Sus scrofa: one gene and its partner. The protein of the gene in region 1 interacts with the protein of each later gene in a biochemical or structural test. Links are inferred from orthologs where the notes say so. Each region holds a gene or a part of one and is shown in the gene's direction. Other genes may lie near its edges. The genes, in order: USP5 and CACNA1H.

Region 1 (7,654 bases):
GCGAGAAGAAGTTTGACTATGATGAGGATGTAAAAATCGTCATTTTGCCAGATTACCTGGAGATCGCCCGGGACGGGCTGGGGGGACTGCCTGACATCGTCAGAGATCGGGTACAAATATCTTTCCCCCCCACCCCCGCCCCCCGAAGATTCTAGGGCAGGCGGGACCAGAGCAGCGCTGTCTTGGGCAAGCACAGAGAAAGCTGAAGTCCATGGCACTGGAGGGGCATGTGGGGCCTGGGGCTGGGTCCTGGTCTCTGATCCTCTGCTTCCCCCAGGTGACCAGTGCAGTGGAGGCCCTGCTGTCGGCTGACTCGGCCTCCCGCAAGCAGGAGGTGCAGGCCTGGGATGGGGAGGTACGGCAGGTGTCTAGGCATGCCTTCAACCTCAAGCAGCTGGACAACCCTGCTCGAATCCCTCCCTGGTGAGGCCTGGCCCCTCCACCTCGGGGCGCAACCCCTAGAGCAGGGGCAAAGAGGCCACCCTCCTGGGGTCTGGTGGGAGAGAGGGTCGGGAGCAGACTCAGAAGGGGGACTTTGGGGAGCTGAACTCAGCCAGGGGCATCCGGAGGAGAGACGAAGAGCAGGGTCTTGGACTGGCGGGTGGTGCACAGAGTCCCCTCTGTCCTCCGCTCTCATGACCCCCCCTTCCCCCCCCCCCGCCCCGACGTGCAACTCAGCTACTTTTCTTCTCCCCGACCAGTGGCTGGAAGTGTTCCAAGTGTGACATGCGGGAGAACCTGTGGCTCAACCTGACAGACGGCTCCATCCTCTGTGGCCGGCGCTACTTCGATGGCAGCGGGGGCAACAACCACGCAGTGGAGCACTTCAAGGAGACGGGCTACCCATTAGCCGTCAAGCTGGGCACCATCACACCTGACGGCGCTGGTACTCCCCGCCCCCGCCCGCCCGCCACCTCCCCGCAGAAACCGCTGGGTCTTGACTGTTACTCATGTCGTAGGACACGAGTAAGACATGAGTTCGTTCGTCCTCTCGATCAATAGTAAAACTACTGCAGGAGCTCCAGCTGTGGCACAATGGGATTGGTGGCCCCTCCGGAGCCCTCAGCCATGGGTTCAATCCCCAGCCAGGCGACCAAGGTTAAAGATCCACCGTTGCCGCAGTTGCAGCTTAGGTCACTACTGCAGCTTGGATCTGACTCCTGGCCCAGGGGCTCCATGTGGCTCAGGGTTGCCAAAAATGGGGGGAAAAAAATACGGGGAAAGTACTGCAGGAGTTCCCGTTGTGGTTCAGTGATAATGAACCCAACGAGTATCCATAAGGATGTGGGTTTGATCCCTGGCCTCGCTCAGTGGGTTGCTGGTGTAGGCCAGCAGCTACAGCTCCAGTTCGACCCTTAGCCTGGGAACTTCCATATGCTTCGGGTGCAGCCCTAAAAAAAACCAAAAGAAAAGAGAAAAAAAAAAGCAAGGAAGTATTGCAGGTGGGAGCAAATCTTCAATTTTAATTAACCCCCTAGACACACCCAAATCCCAGCCCCCTTCCGGGCGGTTCCCATCATTATCTTTTAGTGGCTGTCCTTCCAAACCCATCTCAGTCTAGAACCTTCTTCTGTGGTGTGGGGTTTTTTCCAACCCTCAGCCTGTTTCATCCCATCAACCTTGACCGCCCATCCCAGGAGGGCTTGCGGCCTCACTGATGCTCCAGGGAGCCAGGAGGGTCAGCCTCCTAGCCCGTCCTTCTGTTTCACCAGGGGACCTAGGAGGGCTGGTTGGTGGCCAGGCCAGGCCAGAGCCACCCCCTGTGACACCGTTTCTGCCTCTTGTGCTAGACGTGTATTCATATGACGAGGATGACATGGTCCTGGACCCCAACCTGGCCGAGCACCTGTCCCACTTCGGTATCGACATGCTGAAGATGCAGAAGGTGAGGCCCCACTTCCCTCCCTGGAGGCTGAGGCGGCCCGCCGGGGGAGATGCCCCAGTGATCCTGGTCTCCAGGATATGTGGGCTTCCTGTGCAGAACTTTCTAGAACCACCTAATCCTTCACTGAATACTGCTGAACATCTCTTGGGTGCTAGTCACCGTGACCCAGACAGGCTTACGTTCCAGAAGAGAGGCAGGCGTGGCTCACAGACTCATGCAGAGAAATGAATGACCGCCCACTGTGGAGGTGCCACAGGCATTTACAGGAGGGGCCCCCTAGTCCAGGGGATTGAGAAAGTGGCCCTGAGGAAGTGACGCTTGGGTGGAGATCTGGGGGTGAGGGGGCGACTTCAGGATGGAGAAACACTTCCGCTAGAGGGAGTCGTGTTCATTTCATCCCCTCATTGAGCCTGAGGCCTGAGGGCCCCGGGACGGTTGCCTGTGGCCTTCTGGAACTCGCCCTGGAGGAGAGCCAGTGGGCCGCCCATGGTGGAGTCCATAATTCAGCAAATTCCAGCCTCCAGCTGGCCCTCATCCTAGACCCCGCGAGAGGTCAGCATAAAGGCTGCTTCTCTCTCAGCCCATCTGAAGCTCCCTTGCCCTGCAGACGGACAAGACGATGACGGAGCTGGAGATAGACATGAACCAGCGCATCGGCGAGTGGGAGCTGATCCAGGAGTCAGGGGTGCCGCTCAAGCCCCTGTTCGGGCCTGGCTACACGGGCATCCGCAACCTGGGCAACAGCTGCTACCTCAACTCCGTGGTCCAGGTGCTCTTCAGCATCCCCGACTTCCAGAGGAAGTGAGTGCTGCGCTCTCCCTGGCTCTGCGCCCCCAGCCCCCCGGCTCCTCTCCGGACCTCGGTGCCAGCTCAGTCTTATTCCTGGTGCACGGTGAGGGGAGCAGGTCACAGGACCACACCACCGTCACCTGGTGACACACACACTGGTGGGGCCGGGTGCACACACCCCCCCCCACCCCCCGCCAGGGCTCTCCTAGGTCTCCTGACTGACTTAGGGCCAGCAAATGGTCTTGATCTTAGCCAGTGACATCAGATGAGCACCTCACACGGACATGGAGCCTTTGGGGAGAGGGGAGGGCTTGAGACCCAAAGATAGAAGAAAGGCAAATGCTTAGCCTCAGCGAGTTTCCTGTCTACTTGCCAAGGCCCGGTGTGTATGTGAGAGCTTCGAATGTACGAACAAGTTGTGTTCAGTGGAATATGAACCACATCTCTCCTCCGAGGTGGCTTTCTCCCATCTCTGGGCTCTGCTGGGGAGGAAGCTGAGCTATGTTGCATGCCGACCCAGTTGGGAAGAGGGGGGAAGCACGGGTTGCTGGAAAGAAATGGACGCTCAGGTGCAACCATGTACCCTTCTGTTCCGGAGGGGGCTTGTTCTCTGAGCTAGTAGATAATGGCTCCCTTTCGCTTTTCTCTGGGCCTGCCTGAGCCCAAGCCCCTCCAGCAGTCTTTCCTTTGGCTCTTAGGTATGTGGATAAGCTGGAAAAGATCTTCCAGAATGCTCCGACGGACCCTACCCAGGACTTCAGCACCCAGGTGTATGTAGCCAGTTGTGTACCTTCTTTCTCCTCCATGACCCCCTGGAGTGGGCAGTAGTTTAGTCCCTGGCCGGCTAGAAGCTTTCAAATGGTTGCCTTCTGGGCACGCTGTCTGCTTTGGGTTGGGGTCCTGAGGAACCTAAGTTTTTTCATATTTATTTTTTCTTTTTGAAGTTTCTGTTTTTTAGAGCTGCATCCATGGCATATGGAAGTTTCCAGGCTAGGAGATGAACTGGAGCTGCAGCTGCCAGCCTTCACCACAGCCACAGCCAACACCAGATCTGAGCCGTGTCTGCAACCTACACCGTAGCTCACGGCAATGCCAGATTCCCGACCCGCTAAGCAAGACTAGGGATCAATCCCCCATTCCTCATGGATACTGGTTGGATTCATCTCTGCTGCGCCACAATGGGAACTCCTGTTTTTTCACGTTTTGGAGAGTTGTCGGAGGAGGGCTTTGGGCAGGGATCAAGTCGGGCGAAGAGGTAGATTTGGTATCAGGCAATCCTTAATTGACAGAAGCCACATTGTTCTCTTGACTGTTAATCCAGGGCCAAGCTGGGCCATGGCCTTCTCTCGGGAGAGTATTCCAAGCCAGCGCCAGAGTCGGGCGACGGCGAGCAGGTGCCAGAGCAAAAGGTGTGTCTGGGCCTCTGTCCCTTTTCAGACTCTGGAGTTATGGGGAAACCGAGGCCTGGGAGCTGTATAAAGGCCACTTGGTGGCTTCTTGGGCCCCCGCTGAATCGATGCCCTGGCTCTGCCTAGGAAGTCCAAGATGGCATTGCCCCTCGGATGTTCAAGGCCCTCATCAGCAAGGGTCACCCCGAGTTCTCCACCAACCGGCAGCAGGATGCCCAAGAGTTCTTCCTTCACCTTATCAACATGGTGGAGGTGAGGATGGCAAGGGGGCCACTCGTCACACTCCTTCTCTGCGCCTGCACTTCCCCCTGTCTTTCCTCTGTGGGCCCCACCCCCGTCCCATCCCCGGGACCCCAGAGCCTTCCGGCCCTGCGCCGTCCCTGTACCTGAGGACAGCAGAGTAGCGATCTTTTGCTTGATGGGCTTGCAGCCTCAGGAAGGATGCATGCAAAGGAAATGATAGGCTGGTGCTTGGTGCTCAGAAAGAAAGGAGAGGCTCTTGCCCACGCAGGCCCACGCTGTGGGATGGGCGGCCACTTGGGGGGGGCGGGAGGTTGAATAGGGGAAGCTGCTGCTCTGCTCCTGCATCCCTCTGCCTCTTCGTGGTCGTCTCCTTTCTACTTCCCTTCCTCCCTGACCGCCCCCCACAGTGACTTCTGGGGGCCCCCATGCCAGGGCCTGACTGCCCAGACCGCCCCCTGCCCCCCCCCGCCACCTTGCCTCTTTCCCGTAGAGGAATTGCCGGAGCTCTGAAAATCCCAACGAGGTGTTCCGCTTCCTGGTGGAGGAGAAGATCAAGTGCCTGGCCACAGAGAAGGTCAAGTACACCCAGCGCGTGGACTATATCATGCAGCTGCCTGTGCCCATGGACGCGGCCCTGAACAAAGGTAAGGTGGCCCTCTGCTCTCCCGGCGGGGACCTGGGGGCACCTGGAGTCTGAGCTCTGGGGCGGGGCCTGGGCACCTTACAGGAGCAGAGCCCAAGGTTAGCTCTGTCCCCAGCCAGACCTGCCCAGCGGGGCCTGTGGGCCGAGCTGGGATCACCCTTGCTTGCAGCCAGTCAGCAGAGCTTTGTTGGGAAAGAGGCAGGAGGATGTGTATCAGGTGGGCTTGGGGAGGCAGAGGAGCCGAGATGGTCACGGACCCCGAGCCAGTAGAGCAAGACTGAGGAGGGAAAGCAGCAGCTCCTGCCCACCCAGAAGGACCCACCCACCCCTTCCATCACCAGAGGAGCTCCTGGAGTATGAAGAGAAGAAGCGGCAAGCCGAGGAGGAGAAGCTGCCACTGCCAGAACTGGTTCGGGCACAGGTGCCCTTCAGCTCCTGCCTGGAGGCCTATGGGGCCCCTGAGCAGGTGGATGACTTCTGGAGCACTGCCCTGCAGGCCAAGTCCGTGGCCGTCAAGTAAGTCCTGTGGGTGCCGGCCTGCGGCAGCGTCATCCCAAAGATGCTGTCAGCGTCGCATCCTCTCCCGTTGTGGTCCAAATCTCAGGCTTCTATCACTTGAGGCTGGTACCCTGGTCCTGAGGGAACCCAGAGGCTCCAACAGGAGCGGGGTCAGGAAATTGCTACCTTACCTTGTCCTGCCCCCGCCAGTCCCTCTTCTCTCATGGGCCGGGGTCACTTTCCATTGCAGCCTCTCTCTGCTCTGTCCCCCACTCCAGACCAAGCACAGAAATTAGTAACAGTTGTGGACGGAACTGAGATTTCCAGCACATGGCCTGCCTTTTTGCTACCTCATCACTGGCATGAACCTGAGATCTGAAAGAGTGCTTTGGTCTTGGGGATTCCAGCCACCTGCCCCTTGGCTGCTCTGGCCCATCAGGCAGCCCGCCTCCAGCTTCTGTTGCTCCTTATCCGCAGGTGCCCTGATGCCTGCCCAGGGCAAGAAAGCATGGAGTGTCTTCTGGGCTTTTTTAACAGCCCAGGTCTCTATCCATGAGAGGCTGAACCCAGCGTGGAGCTTTCGGAGAGGCTCCCTGGGTACCTGTATGTTCTCTCTTCCCTAGGACCACACGATTTGCCTCATTCCCCGACTACCTGGTCATCCAGATCAAGAAGTTCACCTTCGGCTTAGACTGGGTGCCCAAGAAACTGGGTATGGTGGCTGGGACGAGCAAGGGAGGTTAAGCAGAAAGTGCTAAGAAAAAGAAGGGGCCTTAAGCTGTGAACTGGTGCTTCTCCAACTCTCTCAAAGTAGAAACATTATCTTAGCTGCTTTCGAAATGTGTCTAGCACCGTGAAAAGCACCGACTAAAAGTATCAAGGCTTCTCTGATTTTATAGTTACAATTTACAGCCAGAAGTGATGTTCCTAGTTTTGTGTTTTCTAATTGGCAGGATGGTTTCATTTTGATAATCTTTTTTTTTTTTTTTTTTTTTTATCTTTTTAGGGCTGTACCCGAGGCACATGGAGGTTCCCAGGCTAGGGGTCGAATCGGATCTGTAGCTGCCAGCCTACACCACAGCCACAGCCACTCCGGATCCAAGCCATGTCTGCGACCTACACCACATGTTACAGCCACACTGGGTCCTTAACCCACTGGGCAAGGCCAGGGATCCAACCTGCGTCCTCATGGATACTAGTCAGATTTGTTTCTGATGAGTCATTTTTGATAATCTCCTCATTTTGATAATCTCAAAATAATGAGTTCTCATGGGTCTTCAGGCCCCTGACCACTTGGTGAACTGCAGAATTAACTTGACCTCCTAGCTAAGTTGAGCCCCATGGAAGCATAGAATCATCTGTGGCCCCTTCCTGGACTGTGGCTCATTGTGAAAAGATCTAGGACTGGAATCCAGGTCTTCTGACCCCTGGCCTGATGGCTTTTATTACACTGTGACTCCTGTGCTGGGTCCTGCTCTGAGCAAGTCGGGGGCAGGGGGCTTGAGATTCCCAGAGTGCTTTTCCCGGGAGGGCTTCCGGGAGCTGCCAAGGTGACCCTTGTCCTGCCGGTCCCCTCGCAGATGTGTCCATCGAGATGCCCGAGGAGCTAGACATCTCCCAGCTGAGGGGCACAGGGCTGCAGCCTGGAGAGGAGGAGCTGCCCGACATTGCCCCACCCCTGGTCACTCCGGATGAGCCCAAAGGTAGCCTTGGTTTCTATGGCAACGAAGACGAAGACTCCTTCTGCTCCCCTCACTTCTCCTCTCCAACATGTTAGTGACTCTTCTTCCTGCCTGTCTCTTTCCCTTGCTGATGGGGATCTTCTCTGCCTGCCTCCCCTTGACCCTGTCCTTTGTGTTTCTCCTGTCCTCCCTTTCAAATTTTCCTTGGCCCTCTTGATGAACATGGGGACCGATCGAGCCCTCCCAGCCATGGTCTCTGTGTGGATGGTGGCACACTGGCTGATTGCCTCTGTCCTTGTTACTTGGGTGGGGGCAGGGGCGGGGGCTCGTCCTCCAGACAGTGGGCGAGGAAGGGGCTCCCTGGGGGATCTGTAGCCTGAGTTCTGTACCTTTCGGATACGGCTGGCCCCCCATCAGGTTGTGTTGTCATTTTAGTTCTGGAATCAGGTGCTGGGCCTTGGAGGAAAAATGCATGCAAGGTGGTTGGGGGAGTCCTGGGGGCTGG
Region 2 (7,002 bases), on another chromosome or scaffold:
TGGGCACCAGGCAGGACACGGAGTCCTGGGGGCCACGGGAGCTCCAAGGCCAGGAGGGACGGGTTGGACCCCCTTGCTGGGCTGGAACGTGGGTGCCAGGGGGCTGAGGCCTCTGACCTCGTTCTGCTTCTCTCCTCGTGTAGGTAGGGAACCTGGGTCTGCTTTTCATGCTCCTGTTTTTTATCTATGCTGCCCTGGGCGTGGAGCTGTTTGGGAGGCTTGGTGAGTGCTGCTGCCCCGCCCCCTGGACCCTGGGTCCTGGAAGGTGCAGCTTCCCGCATGCTCACCTGGCCCCAGGACAGTTCAGGCTCTGTCTTTGACTGAGGTGACCACATAGGAGGCACACGCAAAAGCCTGGTGCCAGAATGTGACACACACACGTGTTGGTGGCAGGCCAGGAGGACAGCATGTGCGCACACGCAGGTGTTGACCTGAGCTCCACCTGGCCCCAGGGGATATGCTGCCGCAAGTTCGAATTGTCCCCAGGATTTCCCTGGACCCCCCAGCCTGAGTCTCTGGCCAGTCTGTGCAGCTCTTCCGTGGCAGCCCCCTCCCTTCCCGCTCAGTGTCACTAAAGGCTTAGTGGCTTCCGGCACGCCTACCTGTGCAGTGTTCAGGTGCTGGTCATGGTTTAGGGTCTGCCCTAAACTGGACTGGGCAGCTGGTGTGCCAGACCCTGGGCCTGATGACTGCCGCCCCTGGCCCAGGGCAGCTCGAGCCCGAAGGCATGCTGACCCCAAAGCTGGGCCTGGGGAGCAGAAAGAGCTGTCCACTGGGCTGAGCCAGAGCCCAGCCCTGGGGAAGGGCAGGACCCAGGTGTGCACTGGCCCCAGCCGGGTGCTGACCGGGTCCCTTCTGGCAGAGTGCAGTGAGGACAACCCCTGTGAGGGCCTGAGCAGGCACGCCACCTTCTCCAACTTCGGCATGGCCTTCCTCACGCTGTTCCGCGTGTCCACCGGGGACAACTGGAACGGGATCATGAAGGCACGGCCGCGGGGGGCGGGGCCCGGGGCGGAGGGGGCGGGACGGGGGGGCGGGCCCGGGACGGCGATGGGTGGGTGGGGCGATGGGGCGGGGCAGGCGGGCGGGACCAGGGCGGCGGGGGGCGGGGCGGAGGGGCGGGCGTCTAGGGGCAGGGGCGGCCTTTCGGACTGAGGTGGAGGCTGCCCTCCGCTGCAGGACACGCTGCGGGAGTGCGCCCGTGAGGACAAGCACTGCCTCAGCTACCTGCCGGCCATCTCGCCCATCTACTTCGTCACGTTTGTGCTGGTGGCCCAGTTCGTGCTGGTCAACGTGGTAGTGGCCGTGCTCATGAAGCACCTTGAGGAGAGCAACAAGGAAGCCCGTGAGGATGCCGAGCTGGACGCCGAGCTCGAGCTGGAGCTGGCGCAGAGGCCGCCCGCCCGCCCCAGTCCCGCGGCCCCGCAGAGCCCGGGCGCGGGGCCGGACCCCTCCAACCTGCTGGTCGTGCGCAAGGTGTCCGTGTCCAGAATGCTGTCGCTGCCCAACGACAGCTACATGTTCCGGCCGGTGGCGCCCGCTGCGGCCGCTCACCCCCACCCGCCGCAGGACGTGGAAATGGAGAGCTACGCGGGCGCCTCAGGTAAGGCCCCTGGCGGCGGGCAGATGTGGGCAGGCAGGGCAGCCGGAGGGGTCGGATGCCCATTTCAGGCCCCTCCTGCCCCAGGCCTGGTCACCTCCATCCACTCGCCACCCGCGGAATCCTGCACCTCCCTCCAGGTCCCGTCGGCTGCATCCTCCCCTGCAAGGGGTGCAGGTCACTCCCCAAGTCTCAGCCGGCTGCTCTGCAGACAGGTAGGAGAACCCCCCCCCCCCCGGTTCTCAGCTGAGGCTGGGGGCCCCATGGCTCTCCCCGGCTTTTGAAGGATGAGCAACAGGGACGCTGGGAATATTGGTGGGTTACCCAGAGCCCATGACGACGGCATTTGGCATCCCCAGGCATCCCCAGCAACGGTTCCGGCCAGCCTCGCCTGTACCCACACCACCCCCGCCTGAGGCTTCGGCCTCTTTCCCCTTCTCCTGCCTCTGCGTGCCTCAGTGGGCTGGTGTTGCATGGGGTCAGGTGGTGGCCGAGTCCTCCATGGCAGGTTCCAGAGCAGGGTCTCCAGGGCCCTGTGGCAGGTTCTGCCCACAGGAGGTCAGGCCCCAGCTCTCTGCTCCTCATGGCTTCTCTCCAGTGTGACCAACCCTGGCCATGTGCCCCCATACCAGCATCTCGCAGTCCTGTCTCAGCCTTGGGGTCAGGAGCCCATCCTAGATCAGGGTAGGAACGGGGTCCCTGTGTCCTGGCTGCTGCTTGGGCTCACCTGACCCGTGTCTTTGCAGGAGGCCCTGGCCACCCAGTCCCTGGAGGGGCAGGTTGGCAGCCCCGGGGACAGCAGTCCCAGTTGGGGAGAGCCTGGCAGGAAGACCCCCGGGAGGCAGGCGACCCTGGGGGCCTCCGTGTGCTCCCCACCCCGTTCCCCACGGCCCGCCAGTGTCCGCATCCGCAAGCACACTTTTGGGCAGCACTGCATCTCCAGCCGGCCACCAGCCCCAGGCAGGGAGGAGGCTGAGGCCCCGGACCCGGCCGACGAGGAGGTCAGCCACATCACCAGCTCCGCCCGCGGCCCCGTGGCCTCGCCTGCGGCCTGCGAGCCAGACTTGCACCGGCTCTACAGTGTCGATGCCCAGGGCTTCCTGGACCAGCCGGGCCAGGCGGACGAGCAGAGGCGGCCCTCGGTGGAGCAGGGCTGCGGGGATGGCCTCCCAGAGGCGGGGGTGGTGAAGGCTCGGGCCCCGGAGGCTGAGCTGGCCCTGGGCGCACGCAGGAAGAAGAAGATGAGCCCGCCCTGCATCTCTGTTGAGCCCCCCGCAGAGGACGAGGGCACAGCCCGGCCCCCTGTGGCTGAGGGCAGCAGCACCACCCTCCGGCGAAGAACCCCGTCCTGCGAGGCCGCGCCGCACAGGGACCCCCTGGAGCCCCTGGACAGTGCAGGGCTGGACGCTGCCGCCAAGGGGGAGCGGCGGGGCCAGGCCCCCTGCCGCACAGACCACCTGACCGTCCCGAGCTTTGCCTTTGAGCCACTGGACATGGGGGCTCCTGGTGGGGACCCGTTGTCAGATGGCAGCCATGGGGTCACCCCAGAACCCAGACCCTGTCCTGGTGCCATGGTGCCTCCCGAACCCCAGCAGATGGAGCCCTCAGTGCTCTCGGGAGACCCCCCAGAGGAGGGGGAGAGGCTGCACCTCACAGTCCCGCAGAGCCCCCTGAAGAAAGGGCCCCCCCCAGCCCCCGCTCCAGGCGACGGTGTAGACAAGCCCGTGTAGCTCGGAGTGCAGCGCCCACAGGCCTTGGCACTGGGGTGAGGTGCGCCCAGCGGGGTGGCAGCACCAAGTGGGGCTGTGCGTGGGCCCCAGCTCAGGCCCCCCCGCAGGCAGAGGAGCCGGGAGGACGTCGGCCCAGGGAGACGGGGGCAGATGCTACCCTGGGCGAAGCCTCCATCCCGCGGTTCAGGTTTGGGATTTTCCGAGGTGACCGCCGCGGTCCGAGGCCGTGCCAGGGGCCCGGTCAGCAGTCCGGTAACAAAGCTGCATCCGAGGGACAAGGACCAGAAAATGAGCAGAGGAGGCAGGAGGTCACCCGGTAGAGCCCTACCCTCACATCCACTAAGTTTTTTAGGGAACACGCTTGGGGCCACGTGTGCCCTCTGGGTGGCGGCTCCGTCCCCAAGGCCACAGAGGCCACGCTTCACGTCGCTCACAGTCTGAATTCTCCTCGTCTGTCTCCACCTCCTCTTGTTGCCTCATCTCCCCCCACCCCCCACCGCTCTGCCCCCGTCGGCGTCCCAGACAACGACCCTGACTCTGGTCCCTGGGCCATGGCCAGGCACCAGGGACCAGGCAATAAGACCCCCCCGTGGCCTTTGGGCCTGGGCCGAGAGTTTCAGCGGATGCCCCTGTTTCATGTCATTTCTTTTATAAATTCAGGTGAAATGTTGCAATAATCTGATGTAGAAAATGTGGCTTCTCAAGTCAAGGGGAGGAGAGGGGGCAAAACAGAGCCGAATAAATATTAACTTATTTAAGAAACGTGTTGGATTTCCAGCATCCGACTCGGTCCCCCGCACGGGAGGGCAGCAAGTCTGAGGCGTTGGCGAGGGTTGAGCTGGTGATGGCACCACCACTGCCAGGGCCGAGGGGCTCCACAGAGCCCACCCCCTCCTGCCTGTGCATCCCTGGCTGGGGCGGGTGGCAGGTGGGAAGCCTGCCTCCCATGGCAGCTGGAACCACATGGCATCATTCATGTGCTAGAGAAATGAGGTCTGATCCCACACAGGAAGGAGTTTCTGCCCAGGCTCCCGGGAGGGATGGGAGCCCGCGGAGCAGGGGACAGACTCCCCACCAGGAGAGTGGGCAGCCACCTGGGGCGCCCCCTCCCCATCTCCCTCCCTGAAACCTCTGAGCCTACACCCTCCTCGCATCCTGCTGGCCTCTGCCCCCAGCCCCATTGCACAGACGCCCGGCTCCTTCCTTGTGAGAACAGGTGCAGAAGGGGGCCAGGTCAGAATGAACTTGTTCTTGACCATGGATGGTGGCTGTGGCCTTGGGGGGGTGCTGCACGCACAACAGAGCTGGCTCCAGGATAGGGTCCAGGCCCTTCCCTCCACACAGCAAACAGGCCACCCAACCCACCCCACCCACCTCCAGGCTGATCTAGGTGATGGGAGGGGCTGTCGAGGGCTCTACCTGGCTGAGGCCTGGGCCTGTTTGCTCTGAGCTGGGTGGGCAGCAAGTCCCCAGCTTGGGAGCCTGGGGGCTGCAGCCAGCCCTTCCCCAGCGCTTCTTGGCAGGTGTGGAATGGGGTGCCAGCGCCCCCTCTGGTGGTTATGTGGGGAACTGCGGGACTCCAGAGTCCCAGGTGGCTCTGCCAGATGGGTGTGGGGAGCCCAACTGGACCTGCTGGAGCCCTGGGTCTGCAGGCCCTCCTGCCTGTGACCTTGGCCTCAGTTCTCACAGGGAGAAAACGCTGAGCTGGGCTGGACCCAAGGCTGCTATACTGGTTCTTCCTGCAGACCCAGACTCTGGGCTGCGCCCTCCCTGCCAGGGAGGGGTCATGGGTCTAGGGTCAGAGGGCAGGAGAGCCCGGATGTGGGCCCGCCAGGGTGGCCGCAACCTTCACGCAGCTCACCACACCGGTTGTCAGACCAGAGGCCCTCCGGGTCGTCCTGGGGGCAGAGCGGAGTGAGGACCAGGATGCCAGAGAGCCGGGAGCCCCCATCCTCCGCCTCGCCCACCTGGGCACACCTGGTAGGCATCCCTGGGGCAATTACGGCTACTCCTAGGCCGAGTGGTCCTGCCTGCAGGTCTGCCGGAGGACGGGTCTTGGGTGGGGAACAGGTTGCAGGGAAATAGGGGGACCTGGGGGTGGGCGTCTGTGTTCTGGCTGCGACTTCACTGCGGGGAACCTGGTGCCTCTAGAACCTCTGAATGGTCCATGAACCTTTATCTCTCCCCAAAGCACGATGCCACGCACTGAAAATAAACACAAGCCAGTGCGCTGAAGAGCCGGCCCTGAACACCAGGGGCAGGGCTGGGCCAACCCCACCACAACGCCGGGTGCTCAGGGGTGGGGACCCACCCTGATGGCGGAGGCACCCACTGGCCCTGGACCCCCTCCGTCTCCCTCAGTGACACACGAAACCAGAGACACAGTGACAGCCACCTCTGCTTTCCATGCTCTTTAATGAGTGATCGTGCTGACGGCCCGCTCCCTGGGACGAGACGTGTGGGGGCTCAGGGCAAGGGGGGGGGCTCAGGGCAGGGGGCACTCGGTGGGAGGGGGACTCAGGGTGGGGGGCCAGGCACGGTGCAGGAGGAGCCACCTCGGCAGGAAGCAGTGGTGTGGGGGCAGGAGGTGACTGGCTTTGCAGACCCAGGGACCAGGCTCAGGACTCCCTGGGGATACACTGGTGGATCCAGTCCAAGTAGTGGGTGACGCGGGTGTAGATGCCAGGCCGGTTGGGCAGAGCGCAGCCCTCGCCCCAGCTGACCACGCCCGCCTGCAGCCAGGTGCCATTCACCCTGCAGACCAGGGGCCCCCCGGAGTCACCCTGCGGAGAGGAGGGGAGGGGAGGGGTGAGCGGTGGCTGCCAGGCCCGGGCAGGTGGGGGCTGCGGGGGACATGCGGACCACCTGGCAGGAGTCGTGCCCTTCGCTGCCGGCGCACAGCATGTCGTCGCGGACAATCGGGATGTTGTCCCCTGTGGACAGGCCGAGGTGGTACTGCATGTCGCATTCGCTGTTTTCCACAATGGGGACCCTCACCTGCTTCAGAGGATACGGCGGTGGCAGGGGCCCTGGGGGCGAGAGGCGAGGAAGCTGCAGCGGCGGCGGGAGGGCTGTTCCCCAAAAGGGTGGAGCTGTGAGGTGACCATGTCCCCCTCCGGCTGTCCCCCAAACCCACAACCACTGTGCACGTCGCCCCAGCCTGTCACCCAGCACCGTGTCCCCTTGGGGAAGGTCTCCGAGGCCGGGGGCAGGGTGACCGGCTGGACGTGGCTGGAGAGGTTCACGGGGTCCTCGAGCTCCAGCAGGGCGATGTCCGCTCCGTTGACCTCGTCATAGTAGTTGGGGTGGACGATGATCCGGCTGACCAGCAGCAGCCGGTCCTGGTAATAGAGGTGCTGCTCCCCCAGCTGGACCCTGATGTACAAGGGGTCAGCCTTTTCCCTGGAGAGGGGACACCTCTTCAGGGAGGGACCAGGCTTCGGGAAGCCCAGGGGCTGGGTGGAGCCCCGGGCCCACCCCCACCCCCACCCACCAGGCCCCATGGAGACTCACGGTCCAAAGCAGTGCGCCGCGGTCAGCACCCACTGGGGGTGGATCAGGGAGCCCCCGCAGAAGTGCTTCCAGTATTGGTCGAGGCATCTCAGGCTCACCTGCCAGGGCCACTTGTGCCCAGGGGCTTCCTTTCCGCCCACGATGCCTGCTCGCTCCAGG

Evidence for each region.
Region 2: the proteins of USP5 (region 1) and CACNA1H form a complex in vitro, tested with the Homo sapiens proteins (2 studies listed by BioGRID, with this or other methods). The link is inferred for Sus scrofa from reciprocal best matches to the Homo sapiens genes USP5 and CACNA1H.

Annotation. Positions count from the first base shown.
Region 1 is NC_010447.5:63,846,614-63,854,267, reverse strand, and holds part of USP5 (ubiquitin carboxyl-terminal hydrolase 5), read left to right. Parts: coding exon 1-110; intron 111-277; coding exon 278-423; intron 424-701; coding exon 702-886; intron 887-1,790; coding exon 1,791-1,885; intron 1,886-2,492; coding exon 2,493-2,686; intron 2,687-3,372; coding exon 3,373-3,444; intron 3,445-3,995; coding exon 3,996-4,083; intron 4,084-4,209; coding exon 4,210-4,335; intron 4,336-4,816; coding exon 4,817-4,970; intron 4,971-5,310; coding exon 5,311-5,485; intron 5,486-6,090; coding exon 6,091-6,179; intron 6,180-7,047; coding exon 7,048-7,170; coding exon of another isoform or gene 7,171-7,239; intron 7,240-7,654. UniProt on the Homo sapiens protein: Deubiquitinating enzyme that participates in a wide range of cellular processes by specifically cleaving isopeptide bonds between ubiquitin and substrate proteins or ubiquitin itself.
Region 2 is NC_010445.4:40,634,510-40,641,511, reverse strand, and holds the end of CACNA1H (voltage-dependent T-type calcium channel subunit alpha-1H), read left to right. Parts: intron 1-143; coding exon 144-222; intron 223-862; coding exon 863-984; intron 985-1,179; coding exon 1,180-1,603; intron 1,604-1,687; coding exon 1,688-1,815; intron 1,816-2,346; coding exon 2,347-3,330; 3' UTR 3,331-4,092; downstream 4,093-7,002. Other genes in the region: tryptase-like, read right to left, coding at 5,949-6,113, 6,196-6,359, 6,467-6,732, 6,844-7,002.